2 linked regions of the Ovis aries genome follow. The protein of the gene in region 1 binds, or shares a complex with, the protein of each later gene. Links are inferred from orthologs where the notes say so. Each region holds a gene or a part of one and is shown in the gene's direction. Other genes may lie near its edges. The genes, in order: LSM11 and LSM10.

Region 1 (15,770 bases):
ATGCTAAATAAGCGTGTAATATATGCTATATTACATATAGCAAAATTAACCCCTCAGGTGAGTAAAAAGGTTGTGAATTCATCACCACAATCAAGATACAAATCAAGGAGTTCCCCGGTGATCTAGTGGTTAAGATGCTGCACTTCCAATGCCAGGGATGCAGGTTCAAACCCTGATCAGGGAACTAAGATCCCACATGCTGTGTGGCAAAAAAAATAAAATAACGTGTAAAGTTAAACTTACCATAGGGCCTGGCCCATACTGAGGGCTCAGTAATTGGTGATAATATTGGTGACAGTGATGCTGCTGCCGTTGTTGATGTGAAGGAGGGAAGCTTGGAGACTCTTGAAGTGAACCAATAGTATGATGAGGCTCTAGACTGTATTGTTGGTTGTGGAAACAGAAAAGAAAGGTCAGGTCTTAGTTATTGAGAATCTCTTTTCTGGACTTAGTATTGGCTATAAGAAGGGAAAAATAAAAGAGTGGAGTTAAAAATGACCTGGATTTGGAAGGCTGTGGCCCAAGGGTAATGGCAGTGGAGAGGGGGATTTGGAAGAATAACTTCTTCAAAGATAAGGCATAGATACAGTTTTAGAAGCCTGGCTCATATCCATTTGGAGTTTGTCACAAATACTGCTGAGAAGAGATTCAGAATGTGCCTTGTGATTCTGAATGTGGAACTTTTTTTTCTCTTGGGATTTTGCTCTGCTAGATGGTGCCAGTGTTGTATTTTTGATCACATGAGAGAAATATTCCCTGGAATTATACCTTGTTAAATCTTTGGAAGAAAAAAAAATCAAAATAAAGGTACAGATATGAAGGTTGAAAACCTGAGTTTACCATTTGCTTAATTAGAATAAGAGATTTTTGTTAAGGTACATGCTTGTCCTTTCTCCCTGATTTGGGGATGTGAGGGGAGTAATGCCCCTGTTTTCTTCTAAGTTAGAAAAAGAGTGGCCTTTCCAGCCTTTGTGGAACGTGTGTATGGTGGAAAAGAGGAGTGAATGTGGAAGGCAAGTAGAGGAATCTAGGCATTGTGACCAGTTTCTAAGAAATTTAATTATTGGAACTTATTCATTACATGAAACTAGAAGTTACCTAGTCTAACCTCACCTTATGAATGGGGAAACTTGGACTTGTGGAGAAAAAGTTGCTCCCCAAGTTCACACAACTAGTTATAATGACCTAAATGTTGTTTACAGTGCTTGATTTGACGCCATCTGTAACACATATCCAGGTATGTGTGTGTACACATACCTTAGTGTGTCAGAGGTACAGAGAAGTTTAATATGGCTAGAGGAGGGATGGATGGTGAAGGTCAGGCCAAGGGTCTCATGTTCCTTTCCAAGGCCACTGTTTCTGACACTCTGCCTTCTTGCTGAATCTTCAATCTGACAAGCTCCTATTTCTCATCTACAACGTCGCTTATCTTCTTTTATTAACTTACCCCTGCCATCATGTATAAGCCAGTCCATGAGTGGGGTAAGGAGGTTAAGAGTAACCACCTTAGGTATCCGAATTGAAGTGCAAGACACTTGTTCTCTTTTATGCTTATACTAAAAATAAGACAGAGTTATTGTTGTTTGTCTACTATCAATGACAATAACTTACAAAGAACTGTGCCATTCAGACTTCAGGGGAAGAGTGAGATTGTGTAAATGTGAGTGTGTGTGTGTGTGTGTGTGTGTGTGTGCATGCATGTGCAGTTTTCTTTAGGGAGGTTTTATGTAGTACAGTCACCGTACTGTGATGGCTAAATTAACATGAAATAATAAAAATAAAACTCAGCCTTGCTTTCAAGCTCTGAAAAAAAAAATCCATCATAATAAAGGCTGCAGTTTTTAGTCCCAGCATTCTTCACATGAATTGTCATACTTCTCTTTTCATATGATGCTTATCAGCAATTTCATAGCAGTCAGATACTCAGCAGGTGCCTTTACATCAGTGAGGCCTGAAATACAACCAGGCCTCTTCTTCCTCATGTGAAGATAATGTTCACTGAAACACTAGTGGCCTAAGAGCACGGCTTCTGCATGATGTAGCTTAGACCGAGAGGGCTAAAAAGCCATTCTCTCTTAGACGATTACATGTGTTTCAGGGCAGATGAGTCACACGGTTCATTTCCTTTAAACCTGTGACCCAAGTTCTTGGTTCTTTGGAAGGCTCAAGCTGGATATGCAGTTCGTAAGGTTTATCCTGAAAAAGATTGTTATACAAGGCAGAGAACTGAGAAGAACCTGGCTGCTGATGTGCACATTTAGTATCGTGGTTTTTTGCCCCCAAAAGTTTTTAAGTGATGCTGCCTCTTAGAATCAGAGGCATCATAGAAATAGCATATGGAGGTAGTGAAATCTTTGGATGGTGGCCACGCAGGGGGTTTACCCATGTTCTGGGGAGTCTTGTCTCATTTCAGTGTGCATTGCCTGCACTTGGCATGCTGCCCACTGGGCCTTCCTGCTCCTGTGGTGTGGTTGCCAGTGCCATACCATGTAGCCTTGCGTTGCTGGAGATGGTGGGGTGGTCTTGGTTGTTACTTCTGGGAATGAGAGCAGGTATTCATTCTGTGCTGATGGTTCTTCTTGTTCCAGTGCACGAAGGCAGCCCTCTGGGTGAACTCCATCGCTGTATCCGGGAGGGGGTGAAGGTGAATGTTCACATCCGCACTTTCAAGGGACTTCGGGGCGTCTGTACAGGCTTCCTCGTTGCATTTGACAAGTTCTGGAATATGGTAATTAAGCCTTCCGCAAGGAACTGGAGCACCTTCTAAGGATTAAATCTTTTATATATCTCAAGGACTTTATTCTGCAAAACCTCCAGAATAACTTCCAGGAAGCCCTAGAATCTTTGAATTCTCTTGGACAACAAGAGAAAAGTTCTTTTTATTGTTTTCCCAAAGGCAGTGGCTTTCACCTGGGATGATTTTACCTATGCCTCCTTCCCAGGGACATTTGGCAATGTCATTTTTTGATTGTCACGACTGTAGGACAGAGTACCACTGGCATCTAGTGGGTAGAGGCCAGGGCTGCTGCTGTGCACGCTGCAATCCACAGAATACCCTGCCAACAACAGAGAATTATCTGGTCCAGAATGTTGCTAGTGCCAGGGTTGAGAAATCTAGCCTTAAGGAATAATTGCTTATGTCTTCTTTTAGTAATTTTATATTGATTTCTTACTGGTTATTTTTCATTCATTTAAACATATTTATTGACTTCCTACTTTGGCTGGGCACATTGCTAGGTACAGAATTCAGGAAGGAACTTAAACTGCAACTTTTGGAAAGAGAGATGAAGATAGAGGGGAAGCAGCCATGTTAATAAACCAGACACTTTGCATGGTGTTTGCTCATGAAGGAGTGTACCATGCGCCCTCAGTCTTCTAGAGGCTTAACTGTCTATTTACTAGACAGACATTTGGAAGAGAAAAAGGACACAGCACAGCTACGATATGAGACAGTTACAGTAGGAGCCACAAGGGCTTTCTAGTGTTTCTTTCCATACGATCTTCCATCGCCAGTTTTTCTTCTCTTTGTGCTGTGTCTTCATCTGTGCATGCCCCTTGATTATAGTAGTAGTTGCTAATACTTATCAAACACTTGCTATATGCCAGATCCTGTACAAAGGACTTTATATATACTACCTCAGTAAATGAGTTGTAAGTCTATCACTGTTTTATTTCACAAATGAAGTAACTGAGGCTAGTGGTTTTGGAAGGTTGGTCCCAAATCACACTCTTAGTAAGTGAAAGGGACTGTAACTTTATCTTTTCTGGCTTATGAAACCATGTTTTAAACCGTATGGAGTCATAAAACTTGGATTCAAATCCTGGCTTAACGTTTGGTAGCTGTGTAACTCTAGGCAAAGTAATTTCTCTGAGCCTCAGTTTTCTCATTTCTAAAATGTAGGGGGAAAATGTTTTATTATTATTGTAAGTTTACCTTTGAAGGGAGAGATTTAAGAGAATATGTTTAGCAGTGGTGGCAATAACAATACTGTCAGCTTATGTTTGTAAGATGATTCACACTTTTCAAAGTAATTTCTCATACATGAGCTCATTTGAGCCTAATAGCTGTCCTGTAAGGTTGATCTCTCATCAACAAGAATTCATCGGTATTTCTGTGTATTGCCCTGGCTAGTCTCTTCATTGCTGTCATAAAGCAGAGAGACTGAAAAGGGAAAATCAGCAGTAGTGTTCTTAAGGTGTGGTCTGAGGCTGTCCTGCATCCGAATGATGGGGTTTCTGGTTAAAACAGAAAGTTCCTGGGCTTCGTCCCAGACGTACAGAATCAGAATAGCCTTAGATTTATATTTTGCCGCATTACTGACAAGAGGATTTTTTGCAGAAACTAATGCCTGTGGTGTTAATGCATCTCTGGTCAGTAATGTGTTAATAAGCTTCCTTGATTATTCATGCCCCCCTGAAATTTAAGAACCTCTACCCTACACTTGCAGTGGCCCCTTACCATAGGAGAACCCCATCGTATATGGTCGTAACAGCTTGGTGTTCCTATTCATAGGGGACCGTGTATTACCATTTGTTCCTGCCCAAGAGCTGAGTCACCTGTTAAGTTTAGTCTGGTATAATTAGATGGTATTCTGCCATTTAAATTTTGTCCTGAAAGCTATAAAAATAATATTTTGAATGATACCATATTTTTCCTTCCTTTGGTCTCTTTTTCTCTAGGCACTTACTGATGTGGATGAGACCTACCGAAAACCTGTTCTAGGCAAAGCATATGAACGGGATTCTTCATTGACTCTCACCAGGGTAAGCAGTTTCCCCTGACTTTGAGTACCCAGTGTGCTTTCAAGCTTAGGAATTAAGATCACTGAGCCTAGGGACCAGGATTTCCCAGCAGTAAAGCCTTATTGCTGTCAACCAGGCATGCTTGGACCAAGATCTTCATTAGTCTCTTCTCATGCATCCAGTGAGTAAAAAATGAGTCTGTATTTCTTACTTGCATATTGTTTGAGCAACAAGTTACCTCATCAGGTCTGAATGTCTTTCAGTTTTATACCATAGAAAAAATGGGTACCTTTTCTCTTGACATACTTACTGATTTATCTGAGTTATGGCTAGAAATAGAAAATTTGTTGCTAACGTTTTTTAAATTGCAAAGCAAACAGTCTACAGAGCATGATTAAGGAATCTAGTCTTTCCTTGGTATATCGAAAAAAAGAGATGTTGAAAACTGAAGAGAAGGCTAATACTTGTCATTGCTTTCCTTGCAGCTCTTTGATCGATTAAAACTGCAAGATTCCTCCAAGAAGGAAACAGATTCTAAGTCTGCAGTTGAAGACTCCACTCTCTCCAGATACTCCCAGACATCCACATGGAAGGTGGCTTCAGTGTGGGGAAGAGGAGACACCGATCGGAGTTCACGCAGGCGTTCCCGCTCCGTCCCTTCTTCCTTGCAGGCGTCTGCAAGGGAGGAGTCCAGGTCAGAGCTGTCAGGGAGGACTACACGGACAGAAGTGTCCAGTGCAGGGGGTACCTTTTCCAGGGCTACCACCCTTTCCAGGGGCCCATCCCGTAAGAAAAAGAGAAAGCCCAAAGTGGATTACCAGCAGGTTTTCACTCGACATATAAATCAGATTTTCATTCGAGGTGAGAACGTCCTGCTGGTTCATCTTGCACAGTGACCGGCTCAACCTCACTTGAGCTTTGGTTTTAGAAATACAATGCATGAATTGCTGCTATGCTTATCCTAGTATCCCAGTGTAACTCTGAGTTGGAGTGATCCCTCTGGTCCAGCATGTGCAGAGCATAGAGCCAGGCTCGGGCCCTCTGGGAGATGAGGTCCTGAAGGGAAAACGACTTGAGAGGGTGGTGGGTGTTTGCATTAATATCACAGCAAAAACTGTACAGAGCATGGTCCATGCATCTGATTTGGTATCACAGTCTACTGCATACACTCAAACCAAATATAAGATCTTGAATTGGGGAGCATGGTATGAATTGAATTGACTCCACAGACACTATAGCGTGGTGAAGGAGAAAGCCTCCTCAGGAAGAATGATCTCATTTCTAGAAGCTAGTGCCCTGAGTACTCATGAACTTGTATCTAAGAGTAGCAGTATAAATTGCCTCGAGCCCTTCATCCGCACCTTGTAACTGACCTTCAAGTTTCACTCTACACCACTCTCTCTTGATCGAGGAATGTACTTTGCTATCTCTTAATATCTGTAAGATAGAAGAAGGCTACACATTTATGTAAGAGTGAAACCTGGGTGGGTAGCATGCTCCAATAAATGCTGTGTCTTCATCCCTCTCCATGTTATGGGAAGAAATAGGGGACCTTGTTGTTGGCTTTCCTCTTGCCAGAGGGAGTTCCTGCAGATGGTGTACCAGGTGGGACTGTAAGATGCTCTTGTCCTTCTCTTCTTTCACTTTTGTGGCATGGTGCTAGTGCATGTGCCTGCGTATTGCCCCCTGTGTATAGTGTGACCTGTCCTGTGAGCTTTATAGCAGGAGGCTGTCACCTTCATGACTGGCTGCGAAGAGTTCTGCATGAACTCAAGAATACACACACATCATGTGGCTGAGAGTACCCTTTCCGGGCAGGGCTGGCCCTGTCTCGAGTGTCTTTCAGGGTAGTTTTCCATGAAACCCGGGTGGAGTTTTATTCCCTTGTGTCAGGCCAAAGAGGTTCTCACAAAGTACAACAGTGGTGTCTATAAGGGACATGTTACTCAGCCCAGCTTGAGTAACCAAACACCAGACCACCTGCTACTATTTCTACTTGAATCATATGCTTTTTCAATCACCAGTGCAAAATAGGCTATATCTCGACATAGACTGTTAGGCAATATTGACCTTTTGTTTTGTTAGTTTATGTTAGGTTTTATTTTAGATAGCTTACATTCAAAGTGAGAATGAGAAGTAGCTCACTAGTTAAAATGTTTGAAAAGAAAAACTTCCTCTGCCGTATTTGTTGTGTAACTTAAATGAGCCTTCTGAGAAGCAGGTGAGTCACGCTCAGAGAGCTGGGCCGGGACTCCTGGTCCTTTGGCTGGCTGGGCCTCTGGCTCTTCATGGAGTGAGAGAAGAGCAGACTAACCCCTCTGTGCCTCAGGTTTTCCCCATCAGACACCTACCTCACAGGGGCACTGAGGAACAGAATCTGGGGAAGGCATTTTAAAGTCTTTTAACATACGTAAGTGCCATGAGTAATTTTTACTCACTCTGTTTCATAGCTTGCTAGAAGTTCACTGTCTCATGAGCAAAGTAGGTGCTATATAACATAAGAACGTAATCTCTGTAAGTGTTAACAGTTATGATCTTCTTGTCATCAGAAGGCAGTGATACCTTCAGGAACTACTTTCCATGTTCCATTCCTTTCTCCTAAGAGACAATGGAAGTTCTCAGAAGAATATCTTTAGTGAAAGAAAAGTAACAGTTTTTTTTGCTGCTCTCCCATATCCCAGCCCCCACCCTTTTCTGGTCGTGATGAGAGGGAATTCCTCTGCACTTTTTGGGGGGTTTATATGCCAGCACTGAAGGAAGGATGTGAATCTAAAAACAGCACATCCCTGAAAGGGAATCTGTGGAAGTTGTTTTATTTGATTTTGTTTCAAAATGGGTTTCAAATATACTCTTTAGAACCAGATGAGATGCACTAAACATTTAGAGAGGTTCTAGGTTACACATGCAAGCGAACAGTTATCTTTGGACACTGCCAGCCTGAGTCTTTTTAAATAGTATGTTCTGAAATCGGTCGTCTTGTTAATCATCAGGCACCCCACCTTTACCCCTTTACCGATCTCCCCTGTTTGGCTGTCCCCATCTGTCTGTCTGTCTTGTCCCTCATCTGGAAGCTGTAATAGTTACTAGATTTTCACAATAAAGGAGAAATTTGGAATCAAATGAATATAATCAATTTCTATTCATTGTAGTACCTGATTAAATCTAACCTGACTTATTTTAAACACATGCTCATTTCCTTGTTTGCATATGATTTTCATGTGTCCATATAATGATTGATTTATTGCTTTTTTGCCCAACTTAACAATTCTGGCTCTAAAAATTATTTTAAAACTGTGTGTGATCTATCTTACGTGCCCATATTCCCCATTTATTGGTTTGGACAGTGATTCTGGGATGATTACTGTCTAGTAAATGTGATGTTTTGTACAAAGCATGATAATCATTATTTTATAGAAGTAAATTTTTAAAATTATTGCCGTTTATTATTGGATAAATTTTTCAAAACGAAGGAAAAATATATTCTAAAAATGTACATGCTGCTCAAAAATGTGATCATCTAAGACATTTTAACAAATTGCTATGGAAATAACTGAAGTCTTCCTGAAGAGAAGGCAAGGAAAGAAAAAGGGGAAGTAACAGCCAGAACAGCAGATTTCTGGAGGCCCCCCATCAGCTCGCCAAGGGGGCCCTAAACAGCCGATATACACCACAACTGGCTTCTAGTATTCTCCAGGGATTTGAGATCGAGACTCTAGTTCTTATTTTTTTTAACATTGAACTGAAGTTCTTCAGAGTAATCTCTAGACAAGGGAGCGTGTTTTCAGGGCAGACTTATGAACTTGCTGAGGTCTTCTCAGGGGTATACAGGTTTGTTAGAAAGTAGCAAGGGACTGAGAGATGGAAGGTGTGGCTTCACCCCCAGGACGATCTCATGGGCCAATATTTGTACACAGAGGTTGTTCTACTGCTTCACCACTAGGAGAGGCTGCACTTTAGGTTGTTTGTGCTGGTAATTAGGAAGTATTTCTGCTTTCTTTCAGAGACCAGTTATGATAGAGGTGGGCTGTTTGTGAGATGCTTAGCTAGAGTTGTCTGTGGCAGGCGGCCCTGGACCAGTTGGTTTCTTCCTCTCTCTGCATGTTGCGTGTCAAGTCAGAAAGCCTAGAAACTGTTAGCATTAAAGTCAAGGTGCATAGGAATCCTTGCCAGTGTCGTTAGTGAATGAAGAAGGGCTTTACCTGTCTTCATGTGAAAAGGTCCAGGAGTACCTTTAGGGATTATCAGCCCCAGCCTCAGAAGCCTTACACAAACCTAGGTGTACTGCCTGTACCCCTTGAGAAAGAACCTAACTTGATGCAGAGTGGATATTTGTATTTCTATTTGTACTGTTTTCATAGCAGCAGACATGGGCAAAATCATGAAATAGAATCTGTTCTGTAAATTACTTTTTAAAATTTTCTCTTATTTTTGCCTTTAGGAACAAATTTAAATTGTTCAAAGACAGCTAGCTGTCACTGGTGCTGTCCCAAAGCTTTCTAATCCTTTATGTATTTTTATGAATGAAGTGATTGCTGTGGGAAGACCAAGATTCATCTAAGAGTGTCATGGTATAAACAGAATGGTTTGTAGTTGTTTGGATTTTTCTTTTCCTGTGCCATATAGAATGCAGTCAACTCCTTTTCAGTAGCTTCTGTTCGTCAGCTTGTGTGTTTCTGGGTAGCAACTCCCAGAAGGCTCTTAGTGTTTGTGAAGAAAGAAAATCTCATCTAGGCCTGTGTTGCAAAGGTGGGTGGTCTGTCATTACTTCCTGGCAAATTGAGTTGATGGATTTAAGATAAGCCTTTGGGGTTCCTCCATCATTTCCTGGGCTTTGAGGAGGAGTTGGGCCTCCTGTACTCGTGGTGTTTTGAGTATGTTTCAAATGTTTGTAATTTCTCTTGCACTCCTCTAATAAAAATGAAAGCTGTCTGTCAAGACATGGCTTTGGATGGTTGGGAGATCTAGCTGGAAAAAAAAGAAGTACACCTGAGACCTTCAGTTGGTCTTTTATTTATTTAGAATAAAAAGTAGTTTGATAAGCTACCAGAGCCAGTGCTTCTTTAAAAACATTCTCTGAAGAGATAGGAACTGTCCCACAGGAAAGCTATAAAAGCTATTCCCAGTGCATTGCAATTGCTTTTGATTTTTAATCCTTTGGAGCAAATGTCTGATGTTATGTTTTTAGAGCTGTGGGGTAAAAATGTATTTTTAAAAAATTTAGGGGTGTTACTGAAACAATGACTGGCTGAATTATGTGTGAGCTAAGCTCTAGGGCAGCTGTCCAGTTCTTTTTTTGTTGTCCCAACAGTAAAGCAGATAGTAAGCGATGTCTTGAAAAGTGATTTGCTTATTCCATCCTGACATCTAAAGGCATTAGCCTCCTATTTGGCAGCCCTGGGGAAACCCCTCTGCACCGTGACTTATTACCTTGTTTTTTAGACAAGGCTAAACCTGGATGACTCTGTGTATTAATAGTTTCACTCTTCATAAACCAGCTGCTACAAGAAAAACCATGATTTTTAATCTTGTCTTGAAATTACTCCTCATTGTTAAATTCACCTAAACCCTTCCTGTGTATGGAGGGTTGCTGCTAGTAACATCAGTTTGCAATGTTCTGCTTTCAGTATTTGTCATACGGGAGTCTGGAAACTGTAATAAATACAATTGTCTTAATAAACTGGCTGCTTTGTCTCTGCTAATTGAGGAGGGATGGGTGGAGAGGAGGTGGCAGGGGAGTCTGTTACCCATGAAGACACCCATCTAGAAAGTTAACACATCACAGGCCTTCTGCAGTCTCGTTGTTGTAACCTTGTGCCTTTTCTTTAGCAAAGCACATGTATCTAGATCATTATTCAGGTTTATTTGAAGTTTACACTTAGAAAAGGAACTTGGCCCATGTTTGTGAATTCTCTCCTCTAAGCCCCAAGCAATGGTCATTGCCCTGTGAATTTATCCTACCTAATAGCTCACTGGTGTTAATCCACTCTCTTCACGACCTGCTGAGATCACCATTGACTCAGCTCCCCTTGGAGGATTTTACCACATCTTGCTGATTGACACACTTCCAGGAATATCTGAATTTGCCACCAGCTCCTCTGTGCACATACAGGAAGTTGATCTGCCCAGAGATTTGCCACATTGATTACTTGACATCCTCTGTGTGCTTCTAGCCCTGAGTCATCCAAATAAGGTAGACAAACAAAAATGACATTGATTTTTAGAGGGGGGAACCTCAAGTTAAAGACCCAATTCCCTACTTTCAAAGGATACATTAAGTTTGGCACAGTTGGCATACAAGAAGTTTGTAGGCATCACAGTGGAAAAAAGAGAGGCAAGACCCACATGTTCCAGTTCTGCTTGTTTCTGCTCTTGCTTGTTTGTTTTACATCTCAAAGACTTGTGATTAAATAAAAATGTTCTCATTAATCAAACTAAAGTCAGAAGAGTCTGCTAGCTTGACATACAAAATGTACAATGATGGTTAAATATTGGCAGGGAGTGGAGGCCAGCAGAATGAAATTTATCATCTGTTGCTCTCCTTTTGCTTTCTGGATAGGAGTGGCAAAGAGAAAACAAGTGCTTGTCCAGCCCCATTTTCTCCTTGGATAGACGTGAAGGGTATGTCAGTCTGCTCAGTTACCACTAGATGGCAGTAGCTTAAAGAGAACTGCTTAAGTGTCGAATCCCAGAAGGACCTGAGGCTCCAGATCTCCAGTTACTGCTACCATTTATTGTTAAACACTCACCAGTCTGAACCTAAATAATCAAGGAAAAGCAAACTGTAGTCAACCCAACTGGCAATATAACCATCTCTTACCACTGCTGAATTTCCATAATGTGAAGCTAAGGCAGCCTGACGGCAGCCGTCAGCCAGTGAAAGTGCCTAAGGGAGAGAGAAAGGGCAGTGTCCACTATTTTAGGGAGTCTGTTGATATTCTCACATGGTGGAGTTCCTCATTTCTTCTCAGAATGCTGTCAACTCCACCTGTCCCCTTCCCGCCTGCTGGCAGGAGATTACTTCAGGAAAACTGACTTGATTCCTCTATTTCTCAGCTGCTGTCTCGCTTTTGGAAATTCACTTTCTCCCAGTGTTAATGCCTGATGCTCCGTTATGAGAGCGGTTGCATTCCTCTTGTGATTCCACAACCAGAATAAAACCTCCAGTCCAAAACTGCAAGCGAGGAAAATTTCTAATAGACACAGAAAAGTGTGGTGTTTTAGGCTGTGCTCTGGGAGCAGGAGCAATAAGGTAGGAAGTGCTGGTAAGTCTCCCAGCACTTCACATCAAGGCCTTCAAAAGACCTTCTCTGTCCGTCAAGGAATAATTTCCCAGCAGCGTATGGTGAAGAGGAATCTACAAGTGCCAAACCTATTGCCTGCATTACCTTGTTCAGATAAAACCACAGCAAGGGGGAGATTTTATCTCCAATATGTGTATGAGGGAACTGGAACACATTAAATAAGCTACCAACATCTCCCCTGGTAATAAATGGCAAATTTGGGGTCTGTCTCTCTGACTCTTAAGTTTGTTGCTGGCCAGTTGTACCTGAAACATATCAAATTTCTCAGGCATTGAATAGGGAGCTTTGAGGACAAGTGGAGTTAATCCCCTTAGATTAATCAGAAACCAGAGAGCTGAGTTAAACCAGAGCTTTTGGTTTTTCACATGTCTAGTTCCTTTTGCCCAGTTCTTTGACTGAAAGTGGACATGTACACAGGGCTTCGTGGCTCCCAGAAAGGACTGTGGCGGTGGGCACCCCCAGGGCAGTGGTCCAGCTGTGGTAAGAGTGGCTGCCAAGTGAGGACCATCTGGTATTTCATTTCACCCACCAGTTGGTTTGGCCCTGGAAGGGGTATCAACCTAATAGTCTTGTTAAAAAGCAGGTGGGACAGCTAGTGATCTTTCCCAAGTCTTCAGAACACGTGTGGAAAGCCTGCCAGCCCTTTCTTTCCAGTGTTCTGCAAAACCTGGTAAGAATGCTTTCTGCAGGTCTTGACTTATTCATCTTATTAAAACAAAACAAAACAATAAAACTTTTCTCTATGCTAAACTCTGGATGTGCTAAAGCAGGAGAAAAGGATTAGTTGAAGGCCTGTGGTCTTCCTAGAAAGATTGGCAAGCTGTCTTGTAAAATTTCCCTTCAACTTGATGATGTGTTAGTTTCCAGAATATGATAATCCTAGAAGGAGCCCTTATCTTAGATGCTTACCAGTGGTTTCTAAACCTCAGTTTCCTCATCTCTAAAATAGGGATAATACCACCTAATAGGGTTGGTGACAAAGTGCTCAGCCCAGACAGCAAGTTTTAATGTCATTTACGCTATGATGAGCTTGTTGTGTGATGCTTAGCTGCTTTCTTCACTTCCCTGTGCTTGTGTTTCGCGTCCTGAGACCAGGCAAACAAGTGGACGCAGCACAATGCTGTCATCCTTTTTTCCTAGCACACAGACAGACCTTGAAAGATTGTTCCCAGACTTCCTGACACCTTCTCAGTTGTTTCTCCCTAGATTAAAACTTGAGCATATCATCATCTTCTTCACCGATGGGAGAGTGTTGTGCTCCCCCAGGAATGACATTAGGCTCCACGGGACATTCATTAGTTGGGGTTACAAGAGGACCACAGGGCACTGGAATGGTAATTTCCTACATGCGACCCCAGTGACCCAGAGGGAGCTAGCTCAGCTGGTCTGAGCATGTGGTTAATGAGGGAAGGGTCATGGTTTCACTCCTGTGTGGGCCAATTAGTGTCACGTGGAAAAGCATGCTCCTGGGGCCCCAGGCGGCAGCTTTACACTGTGGCACTGGTCTCCAGGATGACTGTATGGCCATCATCGCTATCAGAATCCCAACCCAAAATGTACATCTTCCTTATTATTACAGAGCCCATGGTTTCCAAGACTTGGATCATTTGCCAAGCATCTCCATGATTTTTCCGTTATCCCAAGCAGACCAGTGTATTTTTATTTATTTGATGTTTTTCTACACATTGCCTCACTCTTTTAGCTAACACTTAAAAGGAAGTCATGTGTTACTACCATCAATGCAAATTAGGGAAATTTGCCTTAAATTGAAAGTACACATAAAAATAAATAGGCAGTAATTGAAATTAAACTGTTTGTCTTCAGATTATAGGCAGACCTCCTGAGCCACAAGTGATCAATATCCTCCCATGTGTTAATAAACGCATGGATATAAATTGCATGTCTTACATAATAAACATACTGTTCTGTAATAAAATGGCCAAGTCAGCAAAAACAATATTCTAAAGCAATTGCTTCCATGGGAAAAGTTGGGATCAGTGACTAGGGAGTTTCACACTTGAAGTGATGAAATTATTCTTGCAGGAATTTCAGCACCAAAGGTCTTTCTAATAGTCTTTCTAATAGCCATAAATGTATAACTATAAAACCTATAGTCTGAAACAATCTGGGGTTTAATTTATATCCAGCTCTTGCTCAAAGTCATGGCTTTTGTTCACACTCCCCACTGGCACTGTCATTAACACCGTGCTTCTTACACATCCTTATCATTATCACCCGTTTTATGATAAACAAAGCACAAACGTGCAAAGCAGATATGTTGACTGCACAACATCTTTCTTCCCCTCCAGCCATGAGCCAGTGCACGCTCATCTCCCCAGTCAGCCAGTTCCTTATGGAGATCAAGATGTAACCAGTAGTGGTGCTGGTAATAAAAATGTATTCCTTAATTAATTGAGCATGTTACATCCAATCCAGTTATGAAAATGTGCACCGGAGGACAAATGCACATAAAAAGACACATAGCAACGCACATGGGCCTCTTCAGGGTTGAGAGGGAGCCTGGTCACTTCCGTTATTTGAGGTTCCCAATGCCTTTAAAAAGTAAAGAAATATCAGAGTTGTAAATGTGTACATTTGTAAACTTTGGGTTGAATGATGGACTTCCAGTCCTCCCTGGACCTGTGAGAGGGAGCATAGCCTCACTGGGAGAGAATCCCAGTCTGTATGTGAGTTCTTTGAGTGTGAAGTCCCAAGTCCCTGCCCCAGGGTCCAGAAATGAGCCCCACCAGGAAAATTATCTCATATAGAGATCTGGATTCAAATATACCATAAAGCAGAGCATAAAATTTTCGCCACGTGGAAACATGAAGTTATCAGGGACATAGAAGGGTTGGAAAGTGAATAGCTTTTTCTTTCTTGTGTCTTCATTACTTTGTGGATTCTTGCTGCGACCCTCCTGTTACTTCAGTGCCATTTGGGTCTTCCCACTTGGGTAGCTTTCTCATCATTCTTATAAAGCCATGAATTAGTAGCAAAAGGGCCAGACCATTTTATAAGTGCCAGAGACTCACTTAGATTTGTTGTTTTTTAGTCACTCAGTTGTGTCTGACTCTGTGACCCCGTGGTCTGCAGCACACCAGGCTTTCCTGTCCTTCACCATCTCCCAGTAAACTCATGTCCATTGAGTTGGTGATGCCATCCAACCATCTCATCGTTGTTGTCCCCTTCTCCTCCTGCCTTCAATCTTTCCCTACATCAGAGTCTTTTCTAATGAGTCAGCTCTTTGCGTCAGGTGGCCAAAGTATTGGGCTTTCAGCTTCAGCATCAGTCCTTCCAATGAATATTCATGACTGATTTCCTTTAGGGTTGACTGGTTTGATCTCCTTACAGTCCAAGGAACTCTCAAGAGTCTTCTCCGACACCATAGTTCAAAAGCATCAATTCTTTTGCAGTCAGCCTTAATGGCCCATATCTCACATTCATACATGACTACTGGAAAAACTTAGACTAGAAAATCAAAATACAAGAAGTGGGAAGGCAGTATATCAGCTTTCTTCCACTGTATGTGGACCCGCTGACTACTTTAACCATAAGAACTACTTTGAATGACTGCATGTGCACGTATACACACACACACACACACACACACACACACACACACACACACACAGAGCTCACAGTAAAGAGAAAGCAGACACCTCCAGGCCAGGAACATCTATAAAGTTCTCATTGCATGATTTTTGCTGGATCAGTAAGATTGTGTGA
Region 2 (16,570 bases), on another chromosome or scaffold:
TCCTGGAGATCCCTGAGTCTAAACAGGATCAGATCCCCTCATCCTCTTCCAACAGGTTTGTCACTCTGGTTTACATCCATGGAGACAAATTCAAGTCACAGGAACCTGTAGAAAGACAAATGCAAATTACAGGGCGGAAGTGTATATATATATACTTTTCTTCCCCCATAATACCTAATTGCTGTTGTTCAGTCGCTCAGTCATGTCCGACTCTTTGCGACCCCATGGACTGCAGCACACCAGGCTTCCCTGTCCTTCACCATCTCCCAGAGCTTGCTCAAACTCATGTCCATTGAGTCAGTGATGCCATCCAACCATCTCATCCTCTGTCGTCCCCTTCTCGCCTGCCTTCAATCTTTCCCAGCATCAGGGTCTTTTCCAATGAGTCGGCTCTTGGCATCATGTGGCCAGAGTATTAGAGATTCAGCTTCAGCATCAATTCTTCTGAATATTTAGGACTGATTTCCTTTAGGATGGACTAGTTTGATCTCCTTGCAGTCCAAGGGACTTTCAAGAGTCTTCTCCAACACCTCTGCTCAAAAGCCTCAATTCTTCGGTGCTCAGCCTTCTTTATGGTCCAACTCTCATGTCCACACGTGACTACTGGAAAAACCATGGCTTTGACTATACAGACCTTTGTCAGCAAAGTAATGTCTCTGCTTTTTAATATGCTATCTAGGTTTGTCATAACTTTTCTTCCAAGGAGCATCATGACTGCAGTCACCATCTGCAGTGATTTGGAAGCCCAAGAAAATAAGGTCTGTCGTTGTTTGCATTGTATCCCCATCTATTTGCCATGAAGTGATGGGACCAGATGCCATGATCTTAGTTTTTTGAATGTTGAGTTTTAAGCCAACTTTTTCACTCTCCTTTTTCATATTCATCAAGAGGCTCTTTAGTTCCTGTTTGCTTTTTGACACCTTTTTGGTGTCATCTGTGTATCTGAGGTTATTGATATTTCTCCTGGCAATCTTGATTCCAGCTTGTGCTTCATCTAGCCTGACATTTCTCATGATGTACTCTGCATATAAGTTAAATAAGCAGGGTGACAATATATAGCCTTGACGCACTCCTTTCCCAATTTTGAACCAGTCTTTTGTTCCATGTCCAGTTCTAACTGTTGCTTCTTGACCTGCATACAGGTTTCTCAGAGGCAGATAGGGTGGTCTGCTATTCCCATCTCTTAATAAAGACTTTTCCACAGTTTGTTGTGATCCACTTAATTAGCATGGTCAATGAAGCAGAAGTAGATGTTTTTCTGGAATTCTCTTGCTTTTTCTATGGTCCAACAGATGTTTGGAATTTGATCTCTGGTTCCTCTGCCTTTTCTAAATCCAGCTTGAACATCTGGAAGTTCTTGGTTCATGTACTAATACCTAATTATAAAGACCCAAATTAAAATCCAAGTCAATACACCGTTTACCCACCCCTTCCTCCCTTTAGGTGGCGCAAGTGGTGAAGAACACACATATCAGTGCAGGAGACATAAGAGACACAGGTTCGATCCCTGGGTCGGGAAGATCCCCTGGAGGAGGAAATGGCAACCCACTGCAGTATTCTTGCCTGGAGAACCGCATGGACAGAGGAGCCTGGCGGGCTACAGTCCATAGTGTCGCAGAGTCAGACACGACTGAGGCATCTTAGCACATGCACACGCTCCTTCCCTTAAGTCAAACCTGGAAAATTCCTCTTCCACTGCCAAATTCCTGGTCAGCTGGCAGCAGAGGGAGTGGAAAGAACTGTTTTCAAGGGACTGGGCTGGAGACCCCTCTTCTCAGTTGAATCTTCCCTACCCAGCTTCAGGATTCAATGCAAAGTAAATTTTCATATCATAGCCCACCTCTTTTCAAATGAGAATGTCAAAATGCATTCCAAGAGCCAGTGGAAATCATTCTGGATTCTCTGGTCACCTTGACACCTCCCCCACCCCCCACATCCACACACGCTACATCCTTTTTGTTTCTGGCCAGTGGGTCCTCTGCTGATAAAAATAACAGTATCTTCTCTGCTAGTTCCAAAACCACAGGAAACCCGTCACATTAGGCCTAGCGAGGTGTGGCCTTTTTCTTTCTCATTATGAAGGTAAAGGACCTGCCAGGATGTGTCATTAACACTAGTCCCATACTCTGGGAGAAAAATAAGAGGAAAAGTTTAAAAGTGACCTTTTGAAAGTCACAGAGACAGCTGAAATTACAATAAAGGAAGTTGTTTAAATTCACATCTCTTAAAAAATTCTTCAAAAGTCACTGTCTATAAACTTCATAAATTGTTTTCTCTTTATTTTGGATTACTTAAAATGTAAAATTTTAAAACACATAAAGGATAAAATAAGTATAAACGAAGCTTTATAGACCTGGGGGCAGACCCAAGACTCCTAAATCCTACACGTGCACATTGGCTTCAGATCCCTCCACCCTCCTCTTTGTAAAATTCCCCAACTTCCTTTCATTTCTTTTTCTTTTTTTTTAATTGGAGGCTAATTACTTTACAATATTGTAGTGGCTTTTGTCATACATTGACATGAATCAGCCATGGGTATACGTGTGTCCCCCATCCTGAACCCCCCTCCCACCTCCCTCCCCATCCCATCCCTCAGGGTCATCCCAGTGCACCAGCCCTGAGTGCCCTGTCTCATGCATCGAACCTGGACCGGCGATCTGTTTCACATATGGTAATATACATGTTTCAATGCTATTCTCTCAAACCATCCCACCCTCGCCTTCTCCTTTTTTCGTGTATTTAAGGGGAAGGACAAGGAAGGATGCTCTCAGCTCAGGTTTTTCTGGATATCCAGAAGGCCTCCCAGCTTCAGTTACAACTGAGAAGATAATAACCTGTGTGGGATGCCCTCCCTCACCTCTCCCCTCTACCTCAGCACATCATTTACCTTCCTTACCCCTACCCAGCCCTCTTTCTGCACCTCAGAACTTCATCAAAATTCAAAAGGCCACCAAAGAGCCCCTGGATCCCACGCAGCATGGCCTCAGCTCTTCCAGGACCTCCTCCCCCCACCAGCTCTCCAGCCTTCCCGTTGCTTCACCTTGCTTTCTCCCACTCCCATAGCTTCAGTCACAACACAGTCCCTTTCCAGTCTCCAGCCCCAGCTCTGCTGGATTCTGCTGCCGTCTCTGCTCCCCATTCTCCTGGGCCCAGTTCAAGGCCCTTTTCTTTTTCTTACTAGGTCTTTGTGCTCAGATCCTACTAATTTCTGACCACACTTCCCCTCTCTTCCTCAGTATTTTGTTTTGTTTTTTTCCCTTGGCTATGTTGGGTCTTAGTTATGGCACAAAGGATCTTCAGCTTTAGTTGTGACATGCAGGATATTTTGGCTTCAGCATGTGGGATCTAGTTCCCTGACCAGGGACTGAACCTGGGCCCCCTGCACTGGAAGCACGGAGTCTTATTGGCCACTGGACCGCCAGGGAAAGCCCCCCTCGGTGGCTTCTGATTGAAGCTCGCCCTCTGATACAGATGTTGATGTAGCCATTTCTCAGTCTGTCAGAATGGCTGGGGCAATTGCTGGAGGATCCTTGTTTCACCCCTGGGGTTCCCCCACCCACCCTGTCATCACACTCTCACTTCAGCTGTCAGCTCCTGTCTCCATTTCTCGCCCTGGCCCTAGCCTTTGCTCTCCCCACCTCCATGCCTGCTGACCATATATTTTATGTGCCCTGCAGTGCTTAGTCTGCATTCTTCGGCAAACTATTTTGCATTCCTTTTTTCAGAGAGGCCATTACTTTGACCCCATACTATTAACTCACAAATTTCCATATTCCTCTCTCTGGGCTGCAGGTTCACTTTTCCTGAGACATTCCATCACCTCACGCTTCATGTCTAATATTGATACCATTTTTATTTATTCAGGACATTCACTTTACTGTCAAAAGGCATGAAGAATCTTCTTAAATTTCATACAAAATAAGACAGTTCTCCATGGAAAAGCACCAGAAGCAATGAATAGAAGTTACCCAAAACTTCCTAACAATGGAGTAGAACGCCCAGCACAGGAGTGAGTTGCTGGTCACTGGAATATCAAGCAGTGACTAGGGGGACACGGGAGTGAGGGAGGCTGGAGAGGGGATTTGGATCCTGGGTGGGAATTTGGAGCAGGTGGCCTGGGAATCACCCGAACTCTCAGGACTCTGTATCTTCTGACTGTTGGATACAGAACCACAACGAAATCATGTGCAGGGAACAGGGAAATTCAAGGCTCCTGTGAAAGTGAAGTCGCTCAGTCGTGTCCAACTCTTTGGGACCCCATTGACTGTAGCCTACCAGGTTCCTTCATCCATGGGATTTTCCAGGCAAGAATACTAGAGTGGGTTGCCATTTCCTTCTCCAGGAGATCTTCCTGACCCAGGGATTGAACCCGGATCTCCCACATTGTAGGCAGATGCTTTACTGTCTGAGCCACCAAGGAAGTTCTCAAGGATCCTGAAATGAACTCAATTCAAGTGGGCCTTAGTCTGGGTTTGAAACTGCAAAAAAAAAAAAAAAAAGGAACTAATTCTCCACTGAGGTGGAGAAGGAATTTACTGAAAGGGCTTCAGGCAACTGACAGTTGTCAGGAAGAGTGAAGGACCATGCGAAATGGCCAAGAACCAGGGACGGGGAGGCGGCACGGAGAGCACGCCAGCAGCAGCAGCAGCACCCGCAGGGATGAGGCGCTGGATGACGCAGACACCAAGATGAAGCCTCAACAGTTCCTGCTGGTCTGTGTCCCTTGCTCCAGATTTGGAATCCGATAATGCCTGAGCTTAGGTCACCAGCCTGTGCCATAGCTGACAAGGATCAGAGACGTTATCTGCCCTTTAAACCATCTAGAGTGGGAACAGAAACTCACCTCTCACTGAAATTCACACAATGGCAGATCTCCCCAAAGGTGGGGAAAGGAGTTCAGTGGGCTGTGTAGCCCAAAAATGAGATACCCTCTACAGGCGTGAACCCCCTCCCAACCCTACCACTCTTATTCCTGTCAATGGGCCATCAGCGTTAAAATTTAAATCATTGATTTCCCCTCCTGCAAACTATACTCCAGATTTAATCAGTCCCCAAGGATTCTCATTCACTCTCTTCATGGTCTTTAACACTCATCCCTTCTTTCCATCCCACTGCCACCAGTTCATTCAGCTCCCATCATCACAGCACATTCATAAAACCATTGTTCCTCCTGAAACTGCTGTTTGTAGGGTGAAACATCTCAGCCTCCTAGGGCCTTCTCCCTGTCTCAACACCCAAGAGATGAGTAGGAGAGGTGAGATTTACATAAATAGCTATGGCGAATCTGCATGCACCAAGCAAACACATATCAAGCAGTATGCTATCAGCCTCACTCCCAGTTGGCATTATCAGACTTCAGAAAGGTACAGCCAGCCTTTGAAGGAGGGATTGGACTTAACATCCATAGCCAAGCAAGAGAGAAACCCAGGCAGATGAGCACGATAGCAAAGGCAGAGACAAGAATGCAGGGCTTGCCTGGGAGTCGCTGAGTCCGACTTTAGGAGGGCATCGGGTCTCACCGTTGGTGTGCACTGTTAGATGTGCAGATTCCCAGGCTCTACTCCTGATTCTGTAGGTGTGGGGTTGGGTTTAACAAGCATTCCAGATAACATTAAGGCAACTGGTTCCCTGGAACTTCCCTGGTGGTCCAGTGGCTAAGACTCCGTGCTCCCAATACAGGGGCCCTGGGTTCCATCCCTGGTCAGGAACTAGATCCCATATGCCACAACTAAGACCTGGCACAGTCAAACAAATAATATTTTTTTAATGAAAGGAGATAAGAGGTTCCCTTATGTACATGGAGATCATTAGTAACTTTTCAAGAGAAGTTAATGTGAGTAAAACTAAAAACACTCTTGAGAAGAAGCCAGATTACAGTGAGTTGAGTGAGTAGGTGAAAGCCCTCAGGATAGAGCAGCTGTTCTCAAATTTTCAGTCTCAAAACCCTTTTGTACTCTTTAAAAATTACTGAAAGCTAAAGTATTTGTTTATGTGGGATATATATATATAGTAATCACATATATATGAAATTGAGATAAGATTTTAATATTAATTCCCTTTTAAATAACAATAACAGACCCATTATCATATTTTTATTTTAAAATAACTATATATTTTTTTAATTTGGTGAGAAGAGTGACACTGCTTTATATTTTTGCAAATCTGTTCAATGTCTGTCCTACTAGAAGACAGATTCTCATGTCTGCTTCTGCGTTCAGCCCACTGTGCTATGTTGGTTTGGCTGAAGTAGGGGAAGAAATGGATAAGGAAATGGCACTGCACTCCAGTATTCTTGCCTGAGAAGCAGTATGGACAGAGGAGCCTGGCGGGCTACAGGTTGCAAGAGTCCGACACGACTTAGCAACTACACCACCACCACCACCACCACAAGAAGAAGAAAATCCAGTCTCACGTAGAAATGGGATTGGAAAAAGAACTCCCAATTGCAGAATCACTGATATAGAGGCCTCTCCTGAGAAGTTCAGCTGTGGAAGGTAGGAAAACAGCGTAGCTGCCAGGGAGGAGAAAGACATTTTCTATTTTTAGAATAAGAAGAGGCCAGCTGTGGTGAAGGATGAAAAAGGGATGGTTTCTGAGAGAGGTTGAAACCTGTAAACGAGAGGGTAAAGGAACGACCTAGGCCTAAGTCATGGGGCTGCTCCAGTGTGCCAGGTGCTGTCACACATTAATGAAGGTCACTCAAACCTTGAAGGGGCGTGGCCCAGATGGTAAAGAGGTGAAAATCAAAGTCGCTCAGTCGTGTCCGACTCTGCTACCCCACGGGCTGTAGCCTGCCACTCTCCTCTGTCCGTGGGATTCTCCAGGCAAGAATACTGGAGTGAGTTGCCAGAAGGGGATCTTCCCAACCCAGGGTTCGAACCCAGGTCTCCTCCATTGCAGGATGGACTCTTTACCGACTGAGCCGCCAGGGAAGCTATTGTTTCATTTGCTGAATGAAAGAATGACTCCAAAGAAGAGAATCCAGCGACGTCGGTCGGGCAGCAGGAGGGCGTCTCGAGCCCGCGAGGCATTCTGGGGATTGTAGTTCCGGGCCCGCCGCGGGGGACGCCAGCTCTGCGCTCTGCCGCGCTCTCGACGCTCCGGAAGGACCGAGCGGCCCCGCGGTTGCCTTGGCGTCCTAATCCGGCAGCGAGAGGGAGGCCGCCCGGCTAGGCGCCCGCTAGTTTCGGCGGCGACGTGCAGCGGGACAGCGGAAGGAACTCGCGCGGCGGGCCTGGGGAGCCAGGGGCGGAGCGCGAGCGAGCCTGGAACCACGGAGGCGGCGGGAGCGGGGCCAGCGTCTTCCTCCCGGTTGCTGAGCTTAGCTCCTCTTCCCAAGCCCACTCCCACGCTCTGTGAGTAAAGGGTCGTCACCATCCCCACTCTAGCGACTGTCTAACAGGTTTGAAGAAGCCAAGTGGCTTTCTCGAGGTCGACACTCTAAGGAAGTAACCGAGCCCCGTCCTCCGGCCCAGACCTGCCTCTTTGCAGTCACTGTGCTCCCCGAAACCCCCGTTTGAGCGGATATGCCTGGTGAAACCTGGGTGGGGTCGGTTAAGAGTCTTCCGGCCCAACTCCTAGCACCTTGTCAGTGGAGTGGGTAGCTAGCTTGTCACACTTCATGCCACCCTGCACAGCCCTATCGGGATCCTGAGTGAAGTCTTAAGAAATTCAAACACCTGGCACTCAAGGTCTGAAAATGGGGGGTGGGTAAGACATTATCCACCCCCCATTAATATAGCATCCGAGCGTGTTGAAAGCAAAGGAAGATACACTCAGCGTGGTGAGAACCTGTTAACTTCACCTGTTGGTTTAACAGACGGGGAAACAGGTTCAGAGACGTTAAGTAACTGGCCTAGGTCTACAGAGTGTGGGTGGAGTGGGGATTCCAACCTCCAAATTTCTCTGCCTTCAATACCTATGTGCCATATACGCTACCATTTCCTTTTTTTACAGTTGTCTAAATTCCTGGTTACATAGCTGCAGCATCGGGTGGACCAGTCATTCTCAGTGGGCCCTAAACCAGCAATATCAGCATCAGCTGAGAATATGTTAGAAATGCACATTCTTGGGCTCCACCTCAAACGGACTGAGTTAGAAAGGCCGGGGTGGTGGTGGTGGGGTGGGGGCGGGTCATTTAACCCCTCCTGCAGGTGATTCTGATGCACACTAATGTCTGAAAACTGGTGAAGCGATTCATCTAGGGGTCATGTTAAAATGCAGCTTCTTTCGGTAGATCTGGGGAAAGCCTGGAGATTCTGCATTCCAAAACAAGTACCTGGGTGATGCTGAAACTGCTGGTCCACAGACCATATTTTGAGCAGCAAGGGTGTAAACTACACTTTAGAGGAGTGGTTCTCAAACTCCTTGTCTATGCATTGTCTCTGCGTTTAGATGCACATTAGAATTACCTGGGGAGCTTTTACAGAATAGGGTACCTGGGCCCCACCCCTGACCAAATGAATCAGAACCTCTGGGTGTGGCGACCAGAAACTCACTGCGTGATTCTCACAATGAGGGTTCAGAACCCTTGGTGTCGGAATTGGAGCTGGGCAGCCATGGATTCGAATCCCAGCACCTTGGGCCAGTTACTTAACATCTCCTGGCCCAATTTTCCTTGTTTATAAAGTGAGTGTAAGTGATCCTTGGTTTGCAAGGTGTTGTGAGGATTCTATAAGGTGTGTCCAAGAAAGCACCTAAGGGCACTCTGTAGGCATAAAAATTGAGGAGGTGGACAGAGTTAGGGAAGTCTGGGCTGGGGACTTTGTGCTAAAAGCTGACATCAGTGAGTTAGCACCCATACTCCTTAGCCTGCTTCAGCTCCCCTGTGTGTGCCCCTCCCAGAGCAAGCGTGGAAGAATGGAGGTGAGCCACTCGGTGAAGGAGCGGACCATCTCCGAGAACAGCCTGATCATCCTGCTGCAGGGCCTCCAGGGCCAGGTCACCACCGTGGACCTGCGGGATGAGAGCGTGGCCCACGGACGCATAGACAACGTCGATGCTTTCATGAACATCCGCCTGGCCCAGGTCACCTACACAGACCGTTGGGGGCATCAGGTGGAGCTGGACGACCTCTTCGTGACAGGCCGGAACGTCCGTTACGTCCACATCCCCGACAACGTGAACATTACCGCAACCATTGAGCAGCAGCTGCAGGTCATCCATCGGGTGCGTTACTTTGGCAGCAAGGGGCAAGGCCGGCAGGAATTTCCCTCCAAAAACTCTTAAGTAAGCCTGTCCTGGTCCCCACTCAGGTTCCTGCAGACTTCTTCTGAGCCAAAGCCTGCTCTCCCTGCCCACCCAGAACCTGGGAGGGGAGCAGGACCAGCCCAGAAGCTGGTGTCTGACAGACGTCACCTGTCACAGTTGCCTTTCTCAGGGTCTCACCTCTCAGACTCACCCTGGGACCCGGAATTTTAGTTATCTGACTGTGGCCTTGGGGTAGATGACAACCCCCCCCCTTTGGATCATAATTTATCTAAATCTCTAATTTACCGATTGAGGGATTGTGTCAGTTTTCAACCCTCTTGCATTGAGGATTATTAAACACGCTGGGCCTGACGGGCCCCATTTCTCTTGTAATTGTGTTTGTTTTCTCGTGAAACAAGAGGATGCAGACGAGTCTGTGCCTCATGCTTCCTGCCATGCACCAGGCTCCCTGTTGGTCTTGTGTCACGGTGCTGGGTTGCAAGCGTGGCTGCACGTTGGAGTCCCCTGGCCCACTCTCACCTATTTGGCTTTAATTGGTGTGAGTTGTGGCTTAAGCAGTGGAATTTTTTTTTTTTTTTTTTTTTAAGTTTCCCAGGTGATACTAAATATGCAGCAAAGATTGAGGATGTAAGAGAGGCCTTCAGTCTGGTCAGGGAGTGACTCTTCTGTTCATATTTCCCGTTGGAGAGCTTGTTCATCTCAGTGCTCTTTCCTGGGGGAGAGCCTGGAGTAATCCCGGACCCTACCGTCAAGTGTAGAAGCTCATCCAGCAGCAGGAAATCAGGCTCTGATTCTGATATTAGGCCCTCGGGGAAGAAGGGGGTCTCGGGATGAGAACCCCAGCCTTTGTTGTAACTGCCTCCCCCAGCTTTGGCAGCCTTGCCACAGGCCAACTACCATCTCAGTGAAAGTGACTGTCCCATGGAACCAGAGTTTGTCTTCATCAAACAAACATCCACAGAGCAGCTGCCGCGTGGCAGGCCTCCTGCTGAGCACACATTGTCCAATAAGCTCTGGTCGCTTCTGGAGAGGGACTTAGAATCTAGGGCTGGAGGCAGACATTTCCCGAGGGAGACTGCAGAGCGGTGTTCGTTTGGGCGCAGGCAGCCCACAGTCCCTGCGTTTACGTTCTAATCCAGTCTGTTTAAGTGTTGTCCTTGGACCATCTCAGCAGAACCAGCTGGAATGTCTAGAAGAACCACCTTCCTGGATCCCCGGATTGAAAACAGAATCTGGAGCCTGAAAATTTGCTTTATTAACACCCACCCACCCATCCACCATGAGTCCTTTACCTGTTGTATTTCTTCTATTGCCCAGAGGCCTCAGAGGCCACAGGGGAGAACAGTGGATCTGAGCAGGGAGAAAACCACTGCTCTGAGTTGCCAGGCCTCTCTGATAGCTAGAGTTAAGGAGAGCAACACGAGAAGAGTGCGGGTAAGAAGCCAGAGGGCAGGTGTGGAAGGGAGGCGTCACTGTGGAAATGTCTGTGTTCTCACAGCCAGGGGGGAGACCGCCTCTGGTGTGATGAGCTGGCGGGGAGTCTCCCCACACTGCCACTGTCACAGACATTTCCCACGTGTCTACAGACGCTGCCATACTTGAAGAGGGCCCGGGCTGGGAGTTCAGCCTAAAGGTGGAGGAGAGGTAGGCCTGGCTCTGCTTTCAAATGGTGTGCGGGGCTGGGGTGGGGGCGTCTGAAGGGAGGAGGGGCGACTTCCACATCCTCCAAAGAGCAAGGGAAAGCCTAGCATGGATAGCTGAGAAGGGCGGCTCTGGACCCATTCTGTAAGTTCTGTAAGCTTTCTGCACAGATCCCAGTGGGCCTCTGTGCTTCCAAAGACGGGTGTGAGGCAGGGTACCAAGACCTTCTGAGATACACTAATGCCAAGTCCCTGGGGTAGAGCACAGCTATGTGTTCAAGCCCCAAAGTTATGGGTCTTGGCATCTGGTCCTGGACTGCTGGGAAATTGACCAGGGCCCAGGTAGGGATGGGGGGGAGCTCAGTGCCCACCAAGCTGTGGCAAGCCACGGGTCATTCATTCCACAAGTAATTTGAGTCACAGTGCCAGCTACTGAGGGAACAACAAGAGAGACAGGGGGTCCTGCTCTCAGGGAGCTGATGTTCTGGAGGGGAGACGAACAAAGAAAAGTAAACAGATGGGAAGGAAGTAAACAGGAAGGAAATAAACAGGGCACATGGAGAGAAAATAGGTTTTATTTCCAAAAGTGTAGTCTGAAGAAGTTAAATTTAAACTGAGAAGGCACCTACCATTTAAAAAGCCAAGGGAAGGCAGAGGAAATCGCCAGTGCAAAGGTCCTGAGGTGGGAAAGCTTGAGGGTTGGGGGCAACAACCAGATACCACTATGACTTGGTGGAGGAGAAGGAGACAGGTGAGACAGGAGAAATGGGAAAGAGGTGAGGCAAATGATACAGGGCCTTGTGGGTCAGGAGTATAGCTGGTTCCAATCTCAAGTGTGTAAGAAACATAACTTGAATTTTCTCTAACTCAGCTGAATTCATATTTTGCTTTACTCAGCCAGAGTGGCAGAAACTTAACTGCAGTCAATTCAGGGTTCCCCATCACTTTCTTTGGAATCGGTTGAATTCCAGGGCACTTCCTTTCAAGATGCCAAAGCATGGGAAGGGCAGTCCCACTGGCATCCCCCGAGATGTCCTGGTTTTGTCCTGGTCTTCTGTCTTCAGCCCACTCAGGATGCTGCCTAGGTGCTTCTTCCTCACCTCCCATCTGATCGTAACCCATCCCCCTCTTGGTGTTCAGACTCTCACTCTTACTTTTCCAGGCCAGTCAGGCCCAGCAAGTTCCTAGGGTCTTGGGTGAGTTGGGCCCCATTTGCCACAGTGCAGCGCAGAGGGTTCTGTTACTTCTTGGCACTCCACCAGGAAAAGGAGCACATGTCTTCCTGCTTCCCGGGCCCTGAGACCCAGCAGATGCCCTCTAGCTCAGAGGCTGAGCTGCTCTATTCTCAGGGACCACCCCCTCAAGTCTCAGTCTCCCAGATCCCCCTTCTTACAGTTTTCTAAATTTAGATCTGCACAGATATTCTTTCCATCCCTCCCTGAAGGCGAGCAAGGCTCTTAGAATTCAGAAGCTAAAACTGAACTCCACATTCTGGCGTGTCATTTGTTTCCTGGCGTAATGAATGCATAGTAACCTGACTGCATAAGGGAAGAGCCAAGGGACACCACGGAAGAGAGGAAAAATGTATTTCAAAATGTCATTGTCCCATCGAGGTTTGGGTTTTGTGGTCATCGCTGCAGCCTTTGTTCAAGCCTGCACATGACTGAGCACTCAGGAATTCTGAGTGAGAGGGCATATCCAGGCCATGGAGAGAAGAGGACAGGAGGCTCACTCACCTGGGGAAGGGGACTACCAGGGATCTGAGGAGAACTGGGTGGGCTGTGGCTTGACATTCAGTTCCTAGGATGGTGCGGCATCTCCAGCTCTCAGCTGGATGGGACCCACAGAAGAACATCCAGTTCAGTGAGTTCCAGTCTGGAATGCCTAGCTGAATGGTCCCTGAGGGCAGCAGGAGTCCCTTGAGCTCTTATCAGTGTTCCAGAAGGACCAGAGGAACAGCGCGTTGTATATGAACACTAACCAAGCTGACTTGATCTCTACTTCAGGCTGGAATTATACCAACAGCATGATGGGCCACTGGCTTCCTCTTCCTGATCACAAGCTCTCATAGCTGTAATATGAAGCTGTAATGAATAAAAAGGAAGAAATGACTTGATGGCAGGTTGTACAAAATCTTACCAGATATGAGGCTCATGTGGATGGAAAATACTAAAAAAGGCTTTTAAGGTGACAATATTGGGAACCCCTGATCCAGTCCAACTCTGTCCTTTTTCAGTTGGGGAAGCGGAGATCCTCTTTCTTTAAGGAGAAGGTGGAGGGGTCTCCCTGTGTCCCATAATTAAGATAATGGCAGAATGCCAAGGTGGTCACCACAAACAGCTACTGCTTATTGAATTTCACTGTGCACCAGGCCCTGTGCCAGGGGCTCCGCGTGCTCCAGGAGGGCAGAGCTGTGGTCCGTTTGGTCCCACTGGATCTCCAGCATCCAACTCTGCTCTGCACACAGCTGGCACTCCATAAATCTTTGTGAAATGAAAGAATCATCTCATTTCATCATTACAACAACCCTAGAGGTATGTATTAGTAGCCCCGTTTTAGAGATAAGCAAACAAACCCAGAGAGGTTACCTGACTTGCTCAGGGTCACAGAGCCAGTGAACAACAGAGTGGGGATTTGAACTCAGGTCTGTATGCCTAAAACTCCATGATCTTTGCTACTACACTGCACTGTTCTGCCTCTCAGCATTCCTGATACTGGTAACCGGGTAAGATAAGCAATGCCTTGATGATTCAGTGGGTAAAAGAGTCAGCCTGCAGTGCAGGATACTCAGGAGGTTCAGGTTTGATCCCTGGGTCAGGAAGATCCCTTGTGCCTGGAAAAGTCCATGGATGGAGGAACCTGACAGGGTATAGTTCAAACAGTTGCAAAGTCGGACACAATGGAGTAACCAAGCACGCTGCTAACAGTGATGGTACCCAGCCACCAGGTATGGGCCTAGCACTCGAACCGGCATACCTTGGTTCTAGGGGCTTGGCCACAGAGAACCCAGAAGTCAGCCAGTAGGAAAGGTTTGCGGGGTTTCAGAAGCCTGAGGAAGCTCCCTAGGGTTGAAGGTTTCCTCCTCTCCTTCTGTAATAGGCAGATCTGCCTGTACATCGTCAAGCAACCGTTTCATGCTGTTGTGACAGGTGTCACTTTGTCACGGCAGTGTCGTCTGCCAAGATGCCCAGAGCTGGAGAGCCAGCAGGAGCATGTGTCACAGTGCGTGCGTGCGTGTGATGCAGCCGTCTCCTCATGTTCGTGTCCTGATGACAGCTTTTCATTTCCTCTGGCTGGCACCTTTCCTTTCTATTCATTACCTCTCCTCCTCCCCTCTTTCTCTTCCTCCTCCTCCTCCTCTTTGTCAAAATCCTATATTTTGAATCAGCTGAGAGCCTCCTGGGGCTGGGGATGGTGGTGTCAGCTCCAAGTGATTCATCTAGCTGATAATTAGAGCTCTGGAAAACCCAACACTCATTCCTGTCAGAGCTTCCGGAATCTCTAGGCTTTTCCCTTTGTCAGAGATAGGAGCTTGGGGGGCCGGGCCCAGCGTTTTTGTGCCTGCTTTCAGTCCTCCACTGCACTGAAGCTTGCTGAGAGGAGTGTGGGCACTCTTAGTTCATCAGGTCCCATGAGAAGCTGTTTCCACACTCATTGGATCCTCACAGTGAACCCACAAAGTATTATTCTTATGTTGACAGATGGGGATGATTAGGGAACTTGCACAGTCACTGAACTTGTAAGAGACACAGCAAGGACTCAAATTCAACCTTTTTGGAATCTGCCAGACTTGGTTCAAATCACAGCTCTGCCATTATTGGCAGAGCCAATAATGTGTCGTTGGTTACTTTCCCTCTCAGAGTTCTAGCTGCTTCATCTGCGAACAGACTCCTTAACATTGATGTCTCTACGGTGCTTAACACAGTGTCTGACATACTACTGCTGTTTCGATTACTACTGTTACTCAGCCCTTTCAGCTCAGTGTACACTAGGCATTTAGAGACAAAGACAAGGACACAGGAGGAGGCAGCCAGCCTCACTCACATCAACTCTCATGTCCTGGCAGTCACTGCCTGTGTGGAGATGACAAATGCGTGCATACACGTAAGTGCTTGGCCACACACCCTAGGAAAATCCAGAGCTGTGCACACAGGCTTGGACACGTGTGCCCAAATGGATACAGAATAACACAGCTGGAAAGAGAATCAGGAATCATATGCAGCTAGCATCCTGGCTCACACCTCGGAGACAAAGGAGTGGGTCCGTGATCGCGGGTACTGCCACCACGGCGCCCTTCTAGCTGCTTCTGCATGCCAGTGGAGGGAAGCCAGGCTCTCAGAGGGCCCTAGTGAGTCATCAGCCTGATGCAATCCCTTTAAAGGGCTCATCTGCTGGTGCAAGAAGCTGATTCATGGAGGGCGTGGTTGCTGGAGAAGGAGGAGAAAGGGACCGAAACTGCAGCAGGAGGGGCTGAGGTTAGGTGGCTGGAACAGCTAACAGGAACTCTTCACTGTTAACCTGCCTGGTCGAGACTCTAGGGATCTTCGGATTGAAGCGGGATTTCTACAAAAGCAAGGGGCCCAGAGGGAAATGAATTGTGAGGGCTACGGCAGGAATTCCTGTCATTGATGAGACCCACGCCAGCGCTCGCCGCACAAAGCTCCAGGAACCGAGAAATGGGGGTCATGAAAGAGCCACTTTTCTGACAAAGATACTACAACCGACCGATCTTTCAGCTGCTGGAGAAGTCTCCAGACCTGGGAGGGCGAGTGTAGGGCACGCGAGGCTCAGTGGAGTAGCGGCGGGGGCGGTGCCTCCGGCCCAACCTCACCTCAGACTTAGATAAGCGGTAAGTACCGCCCCTTAGAGTCTCGGCCTCCAATCGTTTCCCAGATTTCAGCCCGAGCCCCACCCTGAACCAATCCTCAATCGGATTCTGGTCTCTTGCCTGAAGGCTTCCGCCCTTCGTCAATATGGCACCCAATCCCAGAGCCGTGGGCTGTAGATATGGGCAAGGGGCGGGGCTGCGGCCTGTCCGGGAGGAGGGGGCGGTGCGTCACTTCCGTTGTCAGGTGGCGGCGCTGCAGCCATGGAGGGAGGCGGCGGCAGCGGCGGCGGTGGCTCGGGAGGCTGCGCCGGGAGACGGCGGTGAGCGGCTCCCACGCCCCTTGCCCGGCCCCGGTCCCCCGGGACGGAGCGCCGAGCAGCCCCGGCTCCGGGCTACGGACTATGGGCGAGCAGCGCTGAGCACCGGCGGAAGGTGAGGGCAGGGGTCCGGGAGAGGGGAGCCAGGAGCCCGGCCGGGGATGCGGGTTGGTGGGGGCGGGCCTCAGCGGCCGTGGCAAGGGGATCAGGGTGACAGCCTGAGGCCGTCCGGCTTGACAGAAATGACAACAGCGGATCCGCCGTCCTCGGCTGGGGTCTGCTCTTCCCAGGGGGCGGGGGAGGGGGCGGGGGCTTCTGCGCGCCGGGTACCGGGTGGCCAAGGGGGTGTCTCGGCCCCAGCCCTGGGAGTCGGCACAGCTCAGCCTTGCCTGGAGTCACTTGGTCAGTCAGCGAAGGCGCAGGTTTTTCCCAAGAGGCACTCTCTCCTCTCCGTACTGCCCTCCTGATCTCGAGAGTGACTTGAGAGTTGGAACGAGTCCCCGGAGAGCTTCTTCTCCAGCCCGGTCTTCCTCCACGAGCCCTCACCCATTGGCACGGGCACCATCGCTGCTGGA

Evidence for each region.
Region 2: LSM11 (region 1) and LSM10 share a complex: the UniProt entries of both Homo sapiens proteins name them as parts of the heptameric ring U7 snRNP complex. The link is inferred for Ovis aries from reciprocal best matches to the Homo sapiens genes LSM11 and LSM10.

Annotation. Positions count from the first base shown.
Region 1 is NC_056058.1:66,929,128-66,944,897, forward strand, and holds the end of LSM11 (U7 snRNA-associated Sm-like protein LSm11), read left to right. Parts: intron 1-2,588; coding exon 2,589-2,728; intron 2,729-4,680; coding exon 4,681-4,764; intron 4,765-5,228; coding exon 5,229-5,639; 3' UTR 5,640-10,420; downstream 10,421-15,770. UniProt on the Homo sapiens protein: Component of the U7 snRNP complex that is involved in the histone 3'-end pre-mRNA processing. Increases U7 snRNA levels but not histone 3'-end pre-mRNA processing activity, when overexpressed. Required for cell cycle progression from G1 to S phases.
Region 2 is NC_056054.1:11,237,147-11,253,716, reverse strand, and holds LSM10 (U7 snRNA-associated Sm-like protein LSm10), read left to right. Parts: upstream 1-7,140; 5' UTR 7,141-7,355; intron 7,356-8,844; 5' UTR 8,845-8,859; coding exon 8,860-9,228; 3' UTR 9,229-9,582; downstream 9,583-16,570. UniProt on the Homo sapiens protein: Appears to function in the U7 snRNP complex that is involved in histone 3'-end processing. Increases U7 snRNA levels but not histone 3'-end pre-mRNA processing activity, when overexpressed. Required for cell cycle progression from G1 to S phases.